Pelodiscus sinensis: one gene and its partner. The protein of the gene in region 1 purifies or fractionates together with the protein of each later gene. This does not show direct contact. Links are inferred from orthologs where the notes say so. Each region holds a gene or a part of one and is shown in the gene's direction. Other genes may lie near its edges.

Region 1 (7,351 bases):
TTAAAAACGTCTAGGGATGGGGTTTCCACCACCTCCCTAGGTAACTCATTCCAGTGCTTCCCCATCCTCCTACTGAAATAGTTTTTTCTAATATCTAACCTAGACCTCCCCCACTGTAACTTGAGACCATTGCTCCTTGTTCTGCCACCTGTCACTACTGCGAACAGCCTTTCTCCATCCTCTTTGGAACCTCCCTTCAGGAAGTTGAAGGCTGCTGACAAATCCCCTCTCGCGCTTCTGCAGACCAAATAAACCCAAATCCCTCAGCCTCTCCTCATAGGTCATGTGCTCCTGCCCCCTAATCATTTTGGTCCCCTCTGTTGAACCCTGTCCAGTGCATCCATATCATTTCTATAGTGGGGGGACCCAGAACTGGATGCAGTACTCCTGGGCTACGTCTACACTACATTTTATAGTACCTCCTGATAGTCCAGCATATCCGATAATCTGGCACCACTTAGGTCCCAAAGGTTCCAGATTATTGGAAGTCTACGTACTTAAAAAATATTTTATTACCTTTTGAGTTTTTGTCTAGCTGTTCTTCAAACTCCTTTTTGGCTTTTCTTACTACATTTTTACACTTAATTTGGCAGTGTTTATGCTCCTTTTTATTAACCTCACTAGGGTTTGACTTCCACTTTTTAAAAGATGCCTTTTTATCTATTGCTGCTTCTTTTACATGGGGGAGGGATAGCTCAGAGGTTTGAGCATTGGCCTGCTAAACCCCAGGTTGTGAGTTTAATCCTTGCAGAGGCCATTTAGGGATTTGGGGCAAAAATTCATCAGGGATGGTACTTGGTCCTGTTGTGAAGGCAGGGGACTGGACTCAATGACCTTGCAAGTTCCCTTCTGGTTCTAGGAGATAGGCAATCTCCTTTATTATTATTATTTATTTTATTATTTTGTTAAGCCACAGTGGCTCCTTTTTAGTTCTTTTACTGTGTTTTTTTAATTTGGGGTGTACATTTAAGTTGGGCCTCTATTATGGTGTCTTTGAAAAGTGTCCATGCAGCTTGCAGGGATTTTACTTTAGTCACTGTACCTTTTAATTTCTGTTTAACTAACCACCCCATTTTTGCATAGTTTCCCTTTCTGAACTTAAATGCTACAGTCATGGGCTGCTGAAGTGTTCTTCCCACCACAGGAATGTTAAATGTTATTATATTATGGTCACTATTTCTGAGTGGTCCTGTTATAGTTACATCTTGGACTAGATCCTGTGCTCCATTCAGGACTAAATTGAGAATTGCCTCTCCCCTTGTGGGTTCCTGTACCAGCTGCTCCAAGAAGCAGTTGTTTCAGGTATCAAGAAATTTTGTCTCTGCAATTTGTCCTGAGGTGACATGTAATATGGGGATAATTGACAGTCAATAGGGGGATAATTGAAATCCCGCACTATTATTGAGTTCTTTATTTTGTTAGCCTCTCTAATCTCCCTTAGCATTTCATAGTCACTATCATTGTCCTGGTTAGGTGGTCAATAATAGATCTCTACTGTTATATTCTTATTAGAGCAGAGAATTACTATGCATAGAGATTCTATGGGACATGTTGATTCATTTAAGATTTTTACTTCATTTGATTCTAATTTTTTTTCACATATAGTGCCTCGTCCACCTCATCAACCTGATCCAGTGAGCTATAGCAGACACCAACCACAACATCACCCCTGTTGCTCCTACCTCTAAACTTAACCTATAGACTCTCAACAGACTTTTCTCCCTCTATATACTGGAGCTCTGAGCAGTTCTATTGCTCTCTTACATACAGTGCAACTCCTCCTCCTTTAGCCATGGGCTGGCTGCTCATCTTGATACCCTGTCTCTGAGCATGGTGGGGTTGGAAATAGAAGAGCATGCCTTGTCCTGGCCATAACATGGACCTGAGAGCATCACTGCTCAGTGTTGTGTCCATAGTTTCAGGAGCACAATCAAACAAGAAATAAGAGTAAATTATGGGATTGAACTGAGGGATTTCTGGGAATTCAACACCCACAGATTCAAAATTCCCTGGGAGGAATGAGGACCCCACAATCCATAGCAGAACTCCAGTCTTTACCAGACAGTGTGCCAGAAGGCGGCATGAGAGATGCAGGATGCCAGCCCATGGAGCCATGTATCTTTTGTGGATACAATCTGATGCCATGTACACCTTCTGCCCAAGGGTGAACACTATCTTCTGATACAGGGCATCCAAGACCTGCATTCATTGAAAAGGGCTGTTGCCTTGGGAGCAGCAGTAGTTGTCAGTGTGCCCCCAGGTGGTGCTAAGACGACCAGGAGAAAGGCTGTAGCACTGGGAGCAGAGGATTTGTCTGTGCCTGAAGGCAGTGCTAAGAGGACAGGGGAGAAAGGCTGTGGCACTAGGAGGTGGAGAGGGGTTGTCTGTGTCTGCAGGCAGTGCTAAGATTCTGGGGTGCTGGGCTGTGCAGATTGGGAGAGAAAAGCTAGATTGCCCTGGGGAGCTGCTGGCGGCGGCGAGGCGGGCAGTGGCTGAGCGCTGGTAGGCAGAGATGCGCTGGGCAGCGCAGGCTGTAAGGGGAGGCGCTGGGGGGCGGAGGGGTGTGGCCAGGCAGCGCTAGTACTGCCCAGCCCCCTGCCCGGCCACACCCCTCCGCCCCCCAGCACCTCCCCTCGCAGCCTGTACTGCCCAGCGTCCCGCCCTCTAGCGCTGCCTGGCCACGCCCCTCCGCCCCCCAGCACCTCCCCACGCAGCCTGTACTGCCCAGCGTCCCGCCCTCTAGCGCTGCCTGGCCACGCCCCTCCGCCCCCCAGCACCTCCCCTCGCAGCCTGTACTGCCCAGCGCCCCGCCCTCTAGCGCTGCCTGGCAACGCCCCTCTGCCTCCCAGCACCACCCCTCGCAGCCTGTACTGCCCAGCCCCCCGCCCTCTAGCGCTGCCTGGCCACGCCCCTCTGCCTCCCAGCACCTCCCCTCGCAGCCTGTACTGCCCAGTCCCCCTCCGCCCCCCCTCCGCCCTCAGGCTGCGAGGGGAGGTGCTGGGGGATAAGTGGGTGTGGCCGGGCAGGGGGCTGGGCAGTGCAGGCTGCGAGGGGAGGTGCTGGGGGGGCGGAGGGGCGTGGCCAGGCAGCGTTAGAGGGCGGGGCGCTGGGCAGTACAGGCTGCGAGGGGAGATGCTGGGGGGCGGAGGGGTGTGGCCGGGCAGGGGGCTGGGCAGTACAGGCTGCGAGGGGAGGTGCTGGGGGATAAGGGGGTGTGGCCGGGCAGGGGGCTGGGCAGTACAGGCTGCGAGGGGAGGTGCTGGGGGATAAGGGGGTGTGGCCGGGCAGGGGGCTGGGCAGTACAGGCTGCGAGGGGAGGTGCTGGGGGATAAGTGGGTGTGGCCGGGCAGGGGGCTGGGCAGTACAGGCTGCGAGGGGAGGTGCTGGGGGATAAGGGGGTGTGGCCGGGCAGGGGGCTGGGCAGTACAGGCTGCGAGGGGAGGTGCTGGGGGATAAGTGGGTGTGGCCGGGCAGGGGGCTGGGCAGTACAGGCTGCGAGGGGAGGTGCTGGGGGATAAGGGGGTGTGGCCGGGCAGGGGGCTGGGCAGTACAGGCTGCGAGGAGAGGTGCTGGGGGATAAGGGGGTGTGGCCGGGCAGGGGGCTGGGCAGTACAGGCTGCGAGGGGAGGTGCTGGGGGATAAGGGGGTGTGGCCGGGCAGGGGGCTGGGCAGTACAGGCTGCGAGGGGAGGTGCTGGGGGATAAGGGGGTGTGGCCGGGCAGGGGGCTGGGCAGTACAGGCTGCGAGGGGAGGTGCTGGGGGATAAGGGGGTGTGGCCGGGCAGGGGGCTGGGCAGTACAGGCTGCGAGGGGAGGTGCTGGGGGATAAGGGGGTGTGGCCGGGCAGGGGGCTGGGCAGTACAGGCTGCGAGGGGAGGTGCTGGGGGATAAGGGGGTGTGGCCGGGCAGGGGGCTGGGCAGTACAGGCTGCGAGGGGAGGTGCTGGGGGATAAGAGGGTGTGGCCGGGCAGGGGGCTGGGCAGTACAGGCTGCGAGGGGAGGTGCTGGGGGATAAGGGGGTGTGGCCGGGCAGGGGGCTGGGCAGTACAGGCTGCGAGGGGAGGTGCTGGGGGATAAGGGGGTGTGGCCGGGCAGGGGGCTCGGCAGTACAGGCTGCGAGGGGAGGTGCTGGGGGATAAGGGGGTGTGGCCGGGCAGGGGGCTGGGCAGTACAGGCTGCGAGGAGAGGTGCTGGAGGGGCGTGGCCAGGCAGCGCTAGAGGGCGGGGTGCTAGGCCGCCTGGGGGAACTGCTGTCGCGGGGTAGGAGCGCTGAACATCCGGGCCGAAGAGTAGCCTGGAGCGAGCCGTTTCCGCTTCCGGTCCCAAGCACCTTTCTGTGTGCCGGAAGCGGAAGGGACAGTAGCGAGATGGCGGCTGCAGCGGAGGAGGCGGCCCCACCGGTCTGCGTGCTGGTGCTGGGCATGGCGGGCTCCGGGAAAACCACCCTGGTGCAGGTGAGGAGATTCGCGCTCCGCGTGAGGCGGGGGCTCCGCTTTCCGGGGGTGGGGGGACGGGAAAAGTGTGTGTGTGGGGGGGTCACTCACGTCACGTCACATCGCCCTCTCCTCCGCAGAGGCTCACCGCCCATCTGCACAGCCAGGGGCGCCCGCCCTACGTCATCAACCTGGACCCTGCGGTGCACGAGCTTCCGTTTCCTGCCAACATCGGTGAGTCGCTCGCTCCGCCCTCGGGCGGGTCTCGCGCTTTTCCTCACGTGCAGTTCGCTGTCTTCTCAGCGCTCTGCGGTGTCTGTGCGTCTTCGTTCAGAGCCGGACGCCGCGCCCAGGCGTGCACAGCTGTGCAGGGCACCATAGGGATGCCCTAAGTTTAGTGGTGCACTGTGTTATGCATAGGGATGGGACGTTAGGCAGCTACAGGCAGCACTAGCTCTGGTGGCCCATCTTTTGGCCCACCACAGGTTGTAAAGTAAAGCCATTGTGGAGAAACTAAATGATTTCTTTGCTTCAGTCTTCATGGCTGAGGTTGGGGAGAGTCCCGAATCTGCACCGTCCTTTGTGGGTAATGAATCTGAGGAGCTGTCCCGGATTGAAGTGTTGTTAGAGGAGGTTTTGGAACAGATAGAAAAACTTTGTTAACAAATCTCCGGGACCGGACGGCATTCATTCAAGGGTCCTAAAAGAACTCAATAGCTCAGCAATTTCCCATTTATCTGTCGTTTGTAACCTATCCTTTAAACCGTCTTCCGTACCTAATGACTGGAAGGTAGCCAACGTGACACCAATATTTAAAAAGGGCTCTAGAGGCCATCCTGGCAATTACAGACCGGTAAGTCTAACTTCAGTACCGGGCAAATTAGTCGAAACAATAGTGAAGAATAAAATTGTGAAGCATGTAGAAGAACATAATTTGTTGGACAAAAGTCAACATGGTTTCTGTAAAGGGAAATCCTGTCTTACTAATCTGTTAGAGTTCTTTGAAGGGGTTAACAAACATGCAGACAAGGGTGATCCAGTAGATATAGTATACTTGGATTTTCAGAAAGCCTTTGACAAGGTCCCTCACCAAAGGCTCTTGTGTAAATTACATGGCCATGGGATAAGAGGGAAGGTCCTTTCTTGGATTGAGAACTGGTTAAAAGACAGGAAACAAAGGGTAGGAATAAATGGTAAATTTTCAGATTGGAAAGGGGTAACTAGTGGTGTCTCCCAAGGATCAGTCCTGGGACCAATCCTCTTCAACTTATTCATAAATGATCTGGAGAAAGGGGTAAGCAGTGAGGTAGTAAAGTTTGCGGATGATACAAAACTGTTTAGGATAGTCACGACAGAAGCAGACTGTGAGGGACTCCAAGAAGATCTCACCAAACTGAGTGATTGGGCAACAAAATGGCAAAAGAAATTCAATGTGGATAAGTGTAAAGTAATGCACATTGGGGAAAAATAACCCCAACTATATGTACAGTATGATGGGGGCTAATTTGGCTACGACAAATCAGGAAAGAGATCTTGGAGTTATCGTGGACAGTTCTCTGAAAACTTCCACACAGTGTGCAGTGGCGGTCAAAAAGGCAAATAGGATGCTAGGAATTATTAGGAAAGGGATAGAAAATAAGACCCAGAATATCTTACTGCCCCTGTATAAAACTATGGTACTCCCACATCTTTAATACTGCGTACAGATGTGGTCTCCTCACCTCAGAAAAGATATTTTGGCCTTGGAAAGGGTTCACAAAAGGGCAACTAAAATGATTAGGGGTTTGGAACAGGTCCCATATGAGGAGAGGTTAAAGCGACTGGGACTTTTCAGTTTAGAAAAGAGGAGACTGAGGGAGGGATATGATAGAAGTATATAAAATCATGAGTGGTATGGAGAGGGCCAATAAAGAAAAGTTATTTATTAGTTCCCTAAATAGAAGAACTAGAGGACACCAAATGAAATTAAATGGGTAGCAGGTTTAAAACTAATAAAAGAAAGTTCTTCTTCACACAGCGTGTAGTCAGCCTGTGCAGCTCCTTGCCAGAGGAGGCGGTGAAGGCTAGGACTATAATAGAGTTTAAAGAGAAGCTAGATAATTTCATGGAGGTTAGGTCCATAAAAGGCTATTAGCCAGGGGATAAAATGGTGTTGTTGGCCTGTGTTTGTCAGAGGCTGGAGAGGGATGGCAGGAGACAAATCGCTTGATAAATGTCTTCAGTCCACCCTCTCTGGGGCACCTGGTGCTGGCCACTGTCGGCAGACAGGATGCTGGGCTAGATGGACCTTTGGTCTGACCCAGTACGGCTGTTCTTATGTGCCCAGCCACTGGCACTGCTCACTGTTTCCTTCTGGTCAGCTCCCCCGCCCCCCCCCCCCCCCTCGTATCTTTCAGCTAGCTCACAGCTTTACAGGGCCATTCCTGGGATGTTGGGACAATACCCCTCCCCCAAGTTCCAGGCTCTTGCACCCTGCTTGCACCCTCCATCCCCCTATTCCTTTCCCCAGTGCCCCTCCCCCATACTCTTGAGTGCAGTGCTGCAGTGGGAGCCTGCAAAATAGAATGAGGTGAGGCCCTGTTGCACCACTGCTTTCCATCAGTGAGTGTGGGAGTAGGCCTGACCCCTATTGTCAGCACCAGCCCGTCTCTCTTCCGCCCCCCCCCCCCCCCCCCATCCTCTGGGTTGCCCTGGGGCCTGTGTTTCTGCATCTCTATGATGTTTGGGGCCTAGCACAGAGTAGTTGCTGGGATGGCTCCACCTGTCCCCCTTCCTGTTCCCCCACTAACCTCTCCCTTGTTCCTGTCCCCCACAACTCCTCTTCTTCCTCCTCCCCACCACAGCCCTGAGCATAGTCACCCCACTGCAGAGGGCGCCACCCTCCCCCCCTTCCCCAGTGGGTGCTCTGGCTGCATAGAG
Region 2 (7,181 bases), on another chromosome or scaffold:
TGGTTAAGTCATTAGGATTGGAAGGTCGTGCACAAACCAGCCGATTCTCTGTTCATTCCATTCTGATAACAATCAAACTTGTGAATAAAGTCAAGTTCCAACCCTTCCCTGTGTATTTGGCTTGTGGAATTGGCATGAAACAACACAGTGACTTGGAGATCCCATTAATGAATTCCCCGGGCAGGTTAACGTGTTCCTGTGTGTTGCCTTTTCGGAGATCTGATTTGTGTCCATTGATTCTTTCCCGTGGAGACTGTCCAGTTTGGCCAATACACACGGCAGAGGGGCATTGCTGGCATTTGATGGCATAGACCACATTAGTGGATGTGCAGTTCAATGAGCCGGATGCAGTGGCTGATGTGGTTGGGTCCAGTGATGAAATAGCTTGCGTAGACGTGTGGGCAGAGTTGGCGCCGGGGCCGATCCTCGCCTACAAACAATCCCCTAACTTCAAACAAATTCTTTCCAGTCACCACACGACACACCTCCATCATAATCAGCCAGGAATCCACCCCTGCAATCAGCCCCGGTGCCAACTCTGCCTATACATCTACACTGGCAATTTCATCCCTGGACCCAACCACATCATGATACCATCTACATGTTTTGTTAGTCTTTAAGATGTGCAGAAGGTCAGAGATAATGGTCCTTTCTGACTTTTAAATCTGGGGGTCTCTAAGTAAGTGCAAATGACTTCACTTAGGTAGGAAAAACCAAAGGCTCAGCTGTAAAATGGAGACTCGCTAGCTAAGGGCTTGTCTCCACTTACTGGGAGATGGACGCTGTAGAGTTTGATGTCCTCGGATTCAAATTAGCATCACTAGTAAGGACCCACTAAATCAACCACTGATCGTGCCCATCACCTCCAATATTCCACTGAGTTGCGAGGAGTAAGAGACGCTGATGGGAAAATTTCCCAGTGGGGATGCCATGGAAATTCGACATAAAGTATGTCGACTGCAGCTACGCTATTCACGTACCTGGAGTTGTGTCTCTTAGGTCGACAGTCTCCCGCCGTGTCGACCTGGCCTTTGGCAGGATGGCTGAAAAGGATCTGGAGGCTACAGAGAATCGCAAATTGAATCTGAGTTAACAGTGTGATAGAACTGCACAAAAAGGCTAATATTCTGGGGTGTATTAACAGGTGTGTCATATGTAAGACATGGACGGTAATTGTCCCTTTCCACTCTGCACTGGTGAGGTCTCACGAAAGCACCATGTTCAGTTCTGTGGGCACCTCACTTTAGAAAAGATCTAGACTCTCTCCAATTTGATCAGAGGGGGAAATACAAGGATAAAAGGTTCAGAAAATGTGGCCAATGGGGGAAGCTGAAAAAAACTGGGTATGCTTAGTCTTGTGAAAGGAAGAGTGGGAGCGCAGGGGCTGATAACAGTCTTCCAATATCTTCAGGGCAGGTATGAGGAGACAGCCGATCAACTGTTTTCCACGTCCGGTGAACATAGGACAAGAAATAATGGACTTAATCTGCAGCAAGGAAGAGTTGAGGAAAAATTCTCCAACTATAAGGGCAGTTAAGCTCTGCAATAGGCTTCCAAGGAGGAAAGGGGGCGGGTTGTGAATCCCCACCACCGGAGGATTTTAACAACAGGTAGGACAAGCACCTGCCAGGGGTGGTGACTTTTCAAGGTCCGGACATTGCGATGGTTCTGTGATTAATACTACGTGGGAGTCTGAAGTAGAAAGAGTCAAAGGGCAGATGGAACATGGTTTTAGTTCATAAACACGGATTGTTTCTGTTCAGATCTTTCTAAGCCCTGCTCTGCCAGGACAAAAGGAGGACCAAGGAGGCATCCGCTCTGCAACTGGTAGATGGAAGAATAATGCAAGTTGGAAGAGCCCAGGGCCTTGGGTTGAACATTTTCAGTGCGTGCTTAGGGAGGGAGGCTGACTGGTAGCTTTGGATCACAGCATGAAAGCGTAAGAAAGAACCCAGTAGCATGGGATGCTTGTCAAGGGTTCTCTTTCTGCTTCTGCCAATTGGTCTTGTCTCTCAAAATTGCGTCAAATCCCCCATCAAAGGGCTTTTGATATGAGGCGTGTGAGAAATTGCAAGCTTGGCTTTGCCATGATAAGGCGCTTTGATCATATGTCAAGAGCTGAGACGCTCAAAACTGGCATCAAAACCAAGCAACCGGCACTTGAAAAACTGGCTCCACCCTCCTGCTGGGAGGCAGAAATACTCTTTCCCAAGTTAAACTGGCCACAGCCAATAGAGGCGTGCTTGTGCTTTGCCTCTAAGCCACTTTTCCTTTGAGTGGGAGAAATCATAGGAGCTGAATTTGCCCTGTCCAGAGCTGTACATTTTGTATTCTATGCTATACAGGTTCTCATTCCCACCCCACATCACCGTGCTATCTGAGCACTTTCCAGGCATGGTTTAATGATGCAATTAACGTTAATTCTCTCTCTGTCCTCTCCCTGGGGAGAATTGCATGGGCAATAGAATGTAGGGGTTTGGTTTTGTCACTTGCAAATGTCTGTGCGGCTCTGTGTTTGTGTTAGAAAAGGCGGAGCAGAAGGAGGTTTGGGATGATCCTGTGTTCCCCGGGGGTTCACCCCACAGTTTCAGAGCAGTTCCTGAGAGCTCTGGCGCCTGCACGGACAGGCTCGTCCCTCTCCACGGTGTAATTTGATGCAACAAATCACACTGCAGCAGGAAAACATGGGTCATGCTGCGGTGTACAATCCAGACCAGTGTGGGGTAGTGTCACCTTCCCAGTTACTCTGGGTGCCTTCAGATGGTCTGCTACTGTGGCTCACAGCCCAGACACCAACAGCCAGCTGACAAGCGAGCGATCCCTTGAGGGTCTGTGCTTTGTAACTCTGGTTCAGCACCCTGATTCCAGCAGCTGGCCTGCAACACACCTGCGCCACTCTGCTTTCTATCACGCAGTTACCTTATGCCAAGGTGACCCCTAGTACCCTCCCAGGCCTGAATTTCCCCAAGGTGTCCAGACCTTTCCTGGATCATTCAAAGGAATAATAAGGTTAATTTGCTCCTCTAAAGAGACAGATTGCATAGCTTATTACTCTACCCGATTGCTTCAGTTCAAACACAGCCCTGGCCTGGTTTAGATTAAAAGGCAAAGAGGTTTATTAACAAAAGGAGGCAGGATTTTAAGTGAGTTCAGGTGTGAAGGATGGAGTTAGAAATGGCTACAAGCAAATACAAACAGGAACATGCGTCTCAGACTAATACTCGGCATCAGCCAGTTGCAATCTTTGCCTGCTACGATTTCCTGAGACTTCAACCCCTTGGCTCAGGCCTCCTGAGTCCCTCTGGTTCTCTGCCCTCCCTTTATAGCCCAATAAACCTTTGAAAAGCCTCTCTCTACGTACTTTGACTTTGCTTCAAGAGGCAGGAACCCTTCTTGGGATGCCAGCCTCCATCCCCCATGGAGGTTAGGTCAGCTCTCCACACACTGCTTCCCTCCTGCCTTTGTTTGTCTCTCATGTGAATAAGGCTCCTTGTCTCTGGCTGCTGACAGGCCGTGTAGACAAGCAAATACTTTGTGGCCATGTGGTCATGCTGCCCCCAGCTCTCTGGGGAGTGCTTGATGGCTCTGTTTCCCAAGTAGATACAGTGCCGCGCCCCTGTCACCGGCCAGCCCTGATGCATTTGCAGTTATGCATCTGCTCTCTTCAATTCCCAACCTCAAAACATGATCCCCGAGGCCATCAACGCAATCGATTGTGTGATTTGGTGCAGTATGAACACGCATTTCACAGGGACATAAGCCCCAGAGTGACGAATCCCAGTTTCCCAGGGGTGTGGCACAGGCCCCTCTTAGCTACTGCTCATGGCCTTGCAGGAGCATGGAGGGGAATACAGGTGCAATTGCCCTGAGCTCTAGCGTCCTGGTCCCAAGTGATGCACTTGCAAGGCTGCAAGTCCCCTACAGCAGTAGGCTAGGAAACTACAACTCCCAGCATCCTTTGTTCGCAAAGACCCCTGCCGCCTGAGTGCGTGACTACTCTGTGCCTGTTATTTGCGGCAACATAATTACACCTGGTGTCACCGTGACTTTGTACGGACACAGCCCTGGGAAGCAGCGAAGGGGGGGGGATGTGTGTGTGTGTGAGTGTGTGTGTGTGTCCGTCCGTATCAGGCGTGTGTGTAGGACACCTCTACTGGGCAGGTCTGCGCCTGCGCGGGGGCCTGCGTCGGCGCTTGCGCAGTGGCTCGTTCGGCGCGCGGCGGGCGCCATGGACGACGAGGAGGAGACCTACCGGCTCTGGAAGATCCGCAAAACCATCATGCAGGTGGGGGGGGGGTTCCGAGCCCGCGCGGGGGGGGCGTGTGTGTGTGGGGGGGGTTCCGAGCCCGCGGGGGGGGGGGAGTGTGTGTGTGGGGGGGGGTTCCGAGCCCGCGGGGGGGGGGGAGTGTGTGTGTGGGGGGGGGTTCCGAGCCCGCGGGGGGGGGGGAGTGTGTGTGTGGGGGGGGGTTCCGAGCCCGCGGGGGGGGGGGGAGTGTGTGTGTGTGGGGGGGTTCCGAGCCCGCGGGGGGGGGGGGAGTGTGTGTGTGTGGGGGGGTTCCGAGCCCGCGGGGGGGGGGGGAGTGTGTGTGTGTGGGGGGGTTCCGAGCCCGCGGGGGGGGGAGTGTGTGTGTGGGGGGGGGTTCCGAGCCCGCGGGGGGGGGGGAGTGTGTGTGTGTGGGGGGGTTCCGAGCCCGCGGGGGGGGGAGTGTGTGTGTGTGGGGGGGTTCCGAGCCCGCGGGGGGGGGGAGTGTGTGTGTGGGGGGGGGTTCCGAGCCCGCGCGGGGGGGGGAGTGCGTGTGTGGGGGGGGGGTTCCGAGCCCGCGGGGGGTGTGTGTGTGTGTGGGGGGGGGGGTTCCGAGCCCGCGCGGGGGGGAGTGTGTGTGTGTGGGGGGGTTCCGAGCCCGCGGGGGGGGGGAGTGTGTGTGTGGGGGGGGGTTCCGAGCCCGCGGGGGGTGTGTGTGTGTGTGGGGGGGGGGTTCCGAGCCCGCGCGGGGGGGAGTGTGTGTGTGGGGGGGGGTTCCGAGCCCGCGGGGGGGGGGGGAGTGTGTGTGTGGGGGGGGGTTCCGAGCCCGCGGGGGGGGGGAGTGTGTGTGTGTGGGGGGGTTCCGAGCCCGCGCGGGGGGGAGTGCGTGTGTGGGGGGGGGTTCCGAGCCCGCGGGGGGTGTGTGTGTGTGTGGGGGGGGGGGTTCCGAGCCCGCGCGGGGGGGAGTGTGTGTGTGGGGGGGGTTCCGAGCCCGCGCGGGGGGCGAGGGCGGGGGCCGGGTTCTGTCCTGCTCTGCTCCGCTCTCCGTGGGTGAGCGTAGCCGAACACCCCCTTGGGGCTGGAGGCCTTAGTGGATTCCCTGCGGAGGGAGGGGCTGGTCCTGGGCAGGGTGCAGGCCCGCACTGCTGGGGGCTGACTGCGGGGAAAGCAGGGCCGAGGCACCAGGCGCTATCCAAGTGCACCCAGCACCGGGCGGGTTCCAGCCGGGGTCCTGGCTGTCCGTGGTCTGGGTGGCACTGCAGGGGGCCCGTGGTGGGTTACACGAGGGCTTAGCAGTAGCCAGCTGTTGGCTGCACTCTGGTCCCTGTTGCGGGACCCGGGAGCTCCTAGAAGGTGTTTTCTCAAACAGGTAGGGCAGGTGAGCGGTGATGACGGTTAATAACATTCAGCATGTATCTTGCTGTCCTGCCTCCACAGCACAAGCCGGCTGGGCCCTGTTGTGCTTGGTGCTGTGCAGACACGATAGCCTAACCCCAAACAGCCAAAAGACTGGCCGATCAGTGGAAGCTGCCAGACAACCTTGGTATAGCCTCTGGGAGTGGGGAGACATGAACGAGGGAGGATTTGCTGGGTGGGGCGGAGGGAGACTGTAAAGCTGCATCTGTGTCTTATATGCATCACGAGTAAACAGGATTGTTGTCCTCAGTTGTGTCACGATCGGGGCTATCTGGTGACCCAGGATGAGTTGGATCAGACCTTGGAAGAGTTTAAAGCCCAATTTGGTGACAAGCCCAGTGAAGGGAGACCACGGCGGACTGACCTGACGGTGCTGGTGGCCCATAATGATGATCCTACAGATCAGATGTTTGTCTTCTTTCCTGGTGCGTATGGTGCTGTGAGAGACTGAGGATAGGTGTAAACATGAACCTTATTCTCCATGGGTGTCAGCAGCTCTCACTGGATGCAGTGCCAGCCTAGAACCGATTCTTTTAACTAGCTGCAAAAACTGCATGGAGGGGGTGGCTTAACTTTCTGAGCATCGGTTCTGAAGTGCTGGGTTTCTGGGAACTAATCCCAGGTTGGGTGGCCCAAGTTAGATCAGTTCAGCACCATTCAACATGCCACTTATCGTGTGGGTCTGTCAGAAGGCCTGCCTGTTCCTAGAAAATTCCTGGGAGCTCTTGACTCCAGCCAGCTTGGCTATCTGCTTTAGAGGCCTAACTTTGCTGGCATTATGGAGGCAAAACGTCCCTTGAAGCCAATGAACATTTTGGCTAAGTACGGACTGACTAGGCTGAACAGCCAGGCTACAATCCTGAGCGATTTATAGCAGGGTTGTTTGGCCGCTTGGCTATGTAGCCGCTCTCTGTCGTTCATTCTTTTTCTTGGTGCTGCGTAGTACAGTCTATCACATTTGGATAAGTGGCAAATGCCCAATAGGGCCTCTGAACCAGCTAGCTTGTAATGAAAACAGTTCTGTTTTCTGGAGTCCCAGCTGCACCGCTGTGGTGAATCACTTTGCACTTGCGGTTTCTGGAAGTGCAAGATGATACCTGCACTCTGAAGAGCAGCAGCATGTCATGACAAAGGGGAGGCTCTTAGAAACCCAGGAGAAGAATAGAGATGTGCTAGCACTGTTGTTCTGAGACCAGGTGCAGAACAAAGGTGCTTAAAATGCAGTCTTCTGACAGTCAGGAGTAATTGTGTTGTGACTTATTTATTCCTCAGAGGAGCCCAAGGTCGGGATAAAGACCATCAAGATGTACTGCCAGAGGATGCAGGAGGAGAACATCACCAGGGCTCTGATTGTGGTACAGCAGGGCATGACCCCCTCAGCAAAGCAGGTAGGCAATGATCCTACGTAAGGGCTGGGTGGGAGTGGCTAGGATGGGACAGGAGATACACAGCCTTGGGTGGGAGGGGGGAGAGTTGGTACCAAATGCCCAGTGGTCAGTGCCCTGGAGATTAACTTTTTTGC

What was found. The genes of interacting proteins can lie anywhere in the genome.
Region 2: the proteins of GPN1 (region 1) and POLR2E purify together in Homo sapiens (affinity purification with mass spectrometry; 3 studies listed by BioGRID and IntAct, with this or other methods). This does not show direct contact. The link is inferred for Pelodiscus sinensis from reciprocal best matches to the Homo sapiens genes GPN1 and POLR2E.

Annotation. Positions count from the first base shown.
Region 1 is NW_027465901.1:117,951-125,301, reverse strand, and holds the start of GPN1 (GPN-loop GTPase 1), read left to right. Parts: upstream 1-4,253; 5' UTR 4,254-4,366; coding exon 4,367-4,453; intron 4,454-4,572; coding exon 4,573-4,666; intron 4,667-7,351. UniProt on the Homo sapiens protein: Small GTPase required for proper nuclear import of RNA polymerase II (RNAPII). May act at an RNAP assembly step prior to nuclear import.
Region 2 is NC_134729.1:16,562,501-16,569,681, reverse strand, and holds the start of POLR2E (DNA-directed RNA polymerases I, II, and III subunit RPABC1), read left to right. Parts: upstream 1-4,126; 5' UTR 4,127-4,228; coding exon 4,229-4,285; intron 4,286-5,909; coding exon 5,910-6,084; intron 6,085-6,931; coding exon 6,932-7,047; intron 7,048-7,181. UniProt on the Homo sapiens protein: DNA-dependent RNA polymerase catalyzes the transcription of DNA into RNA using the four ribonucleoside triphosphates as substrates.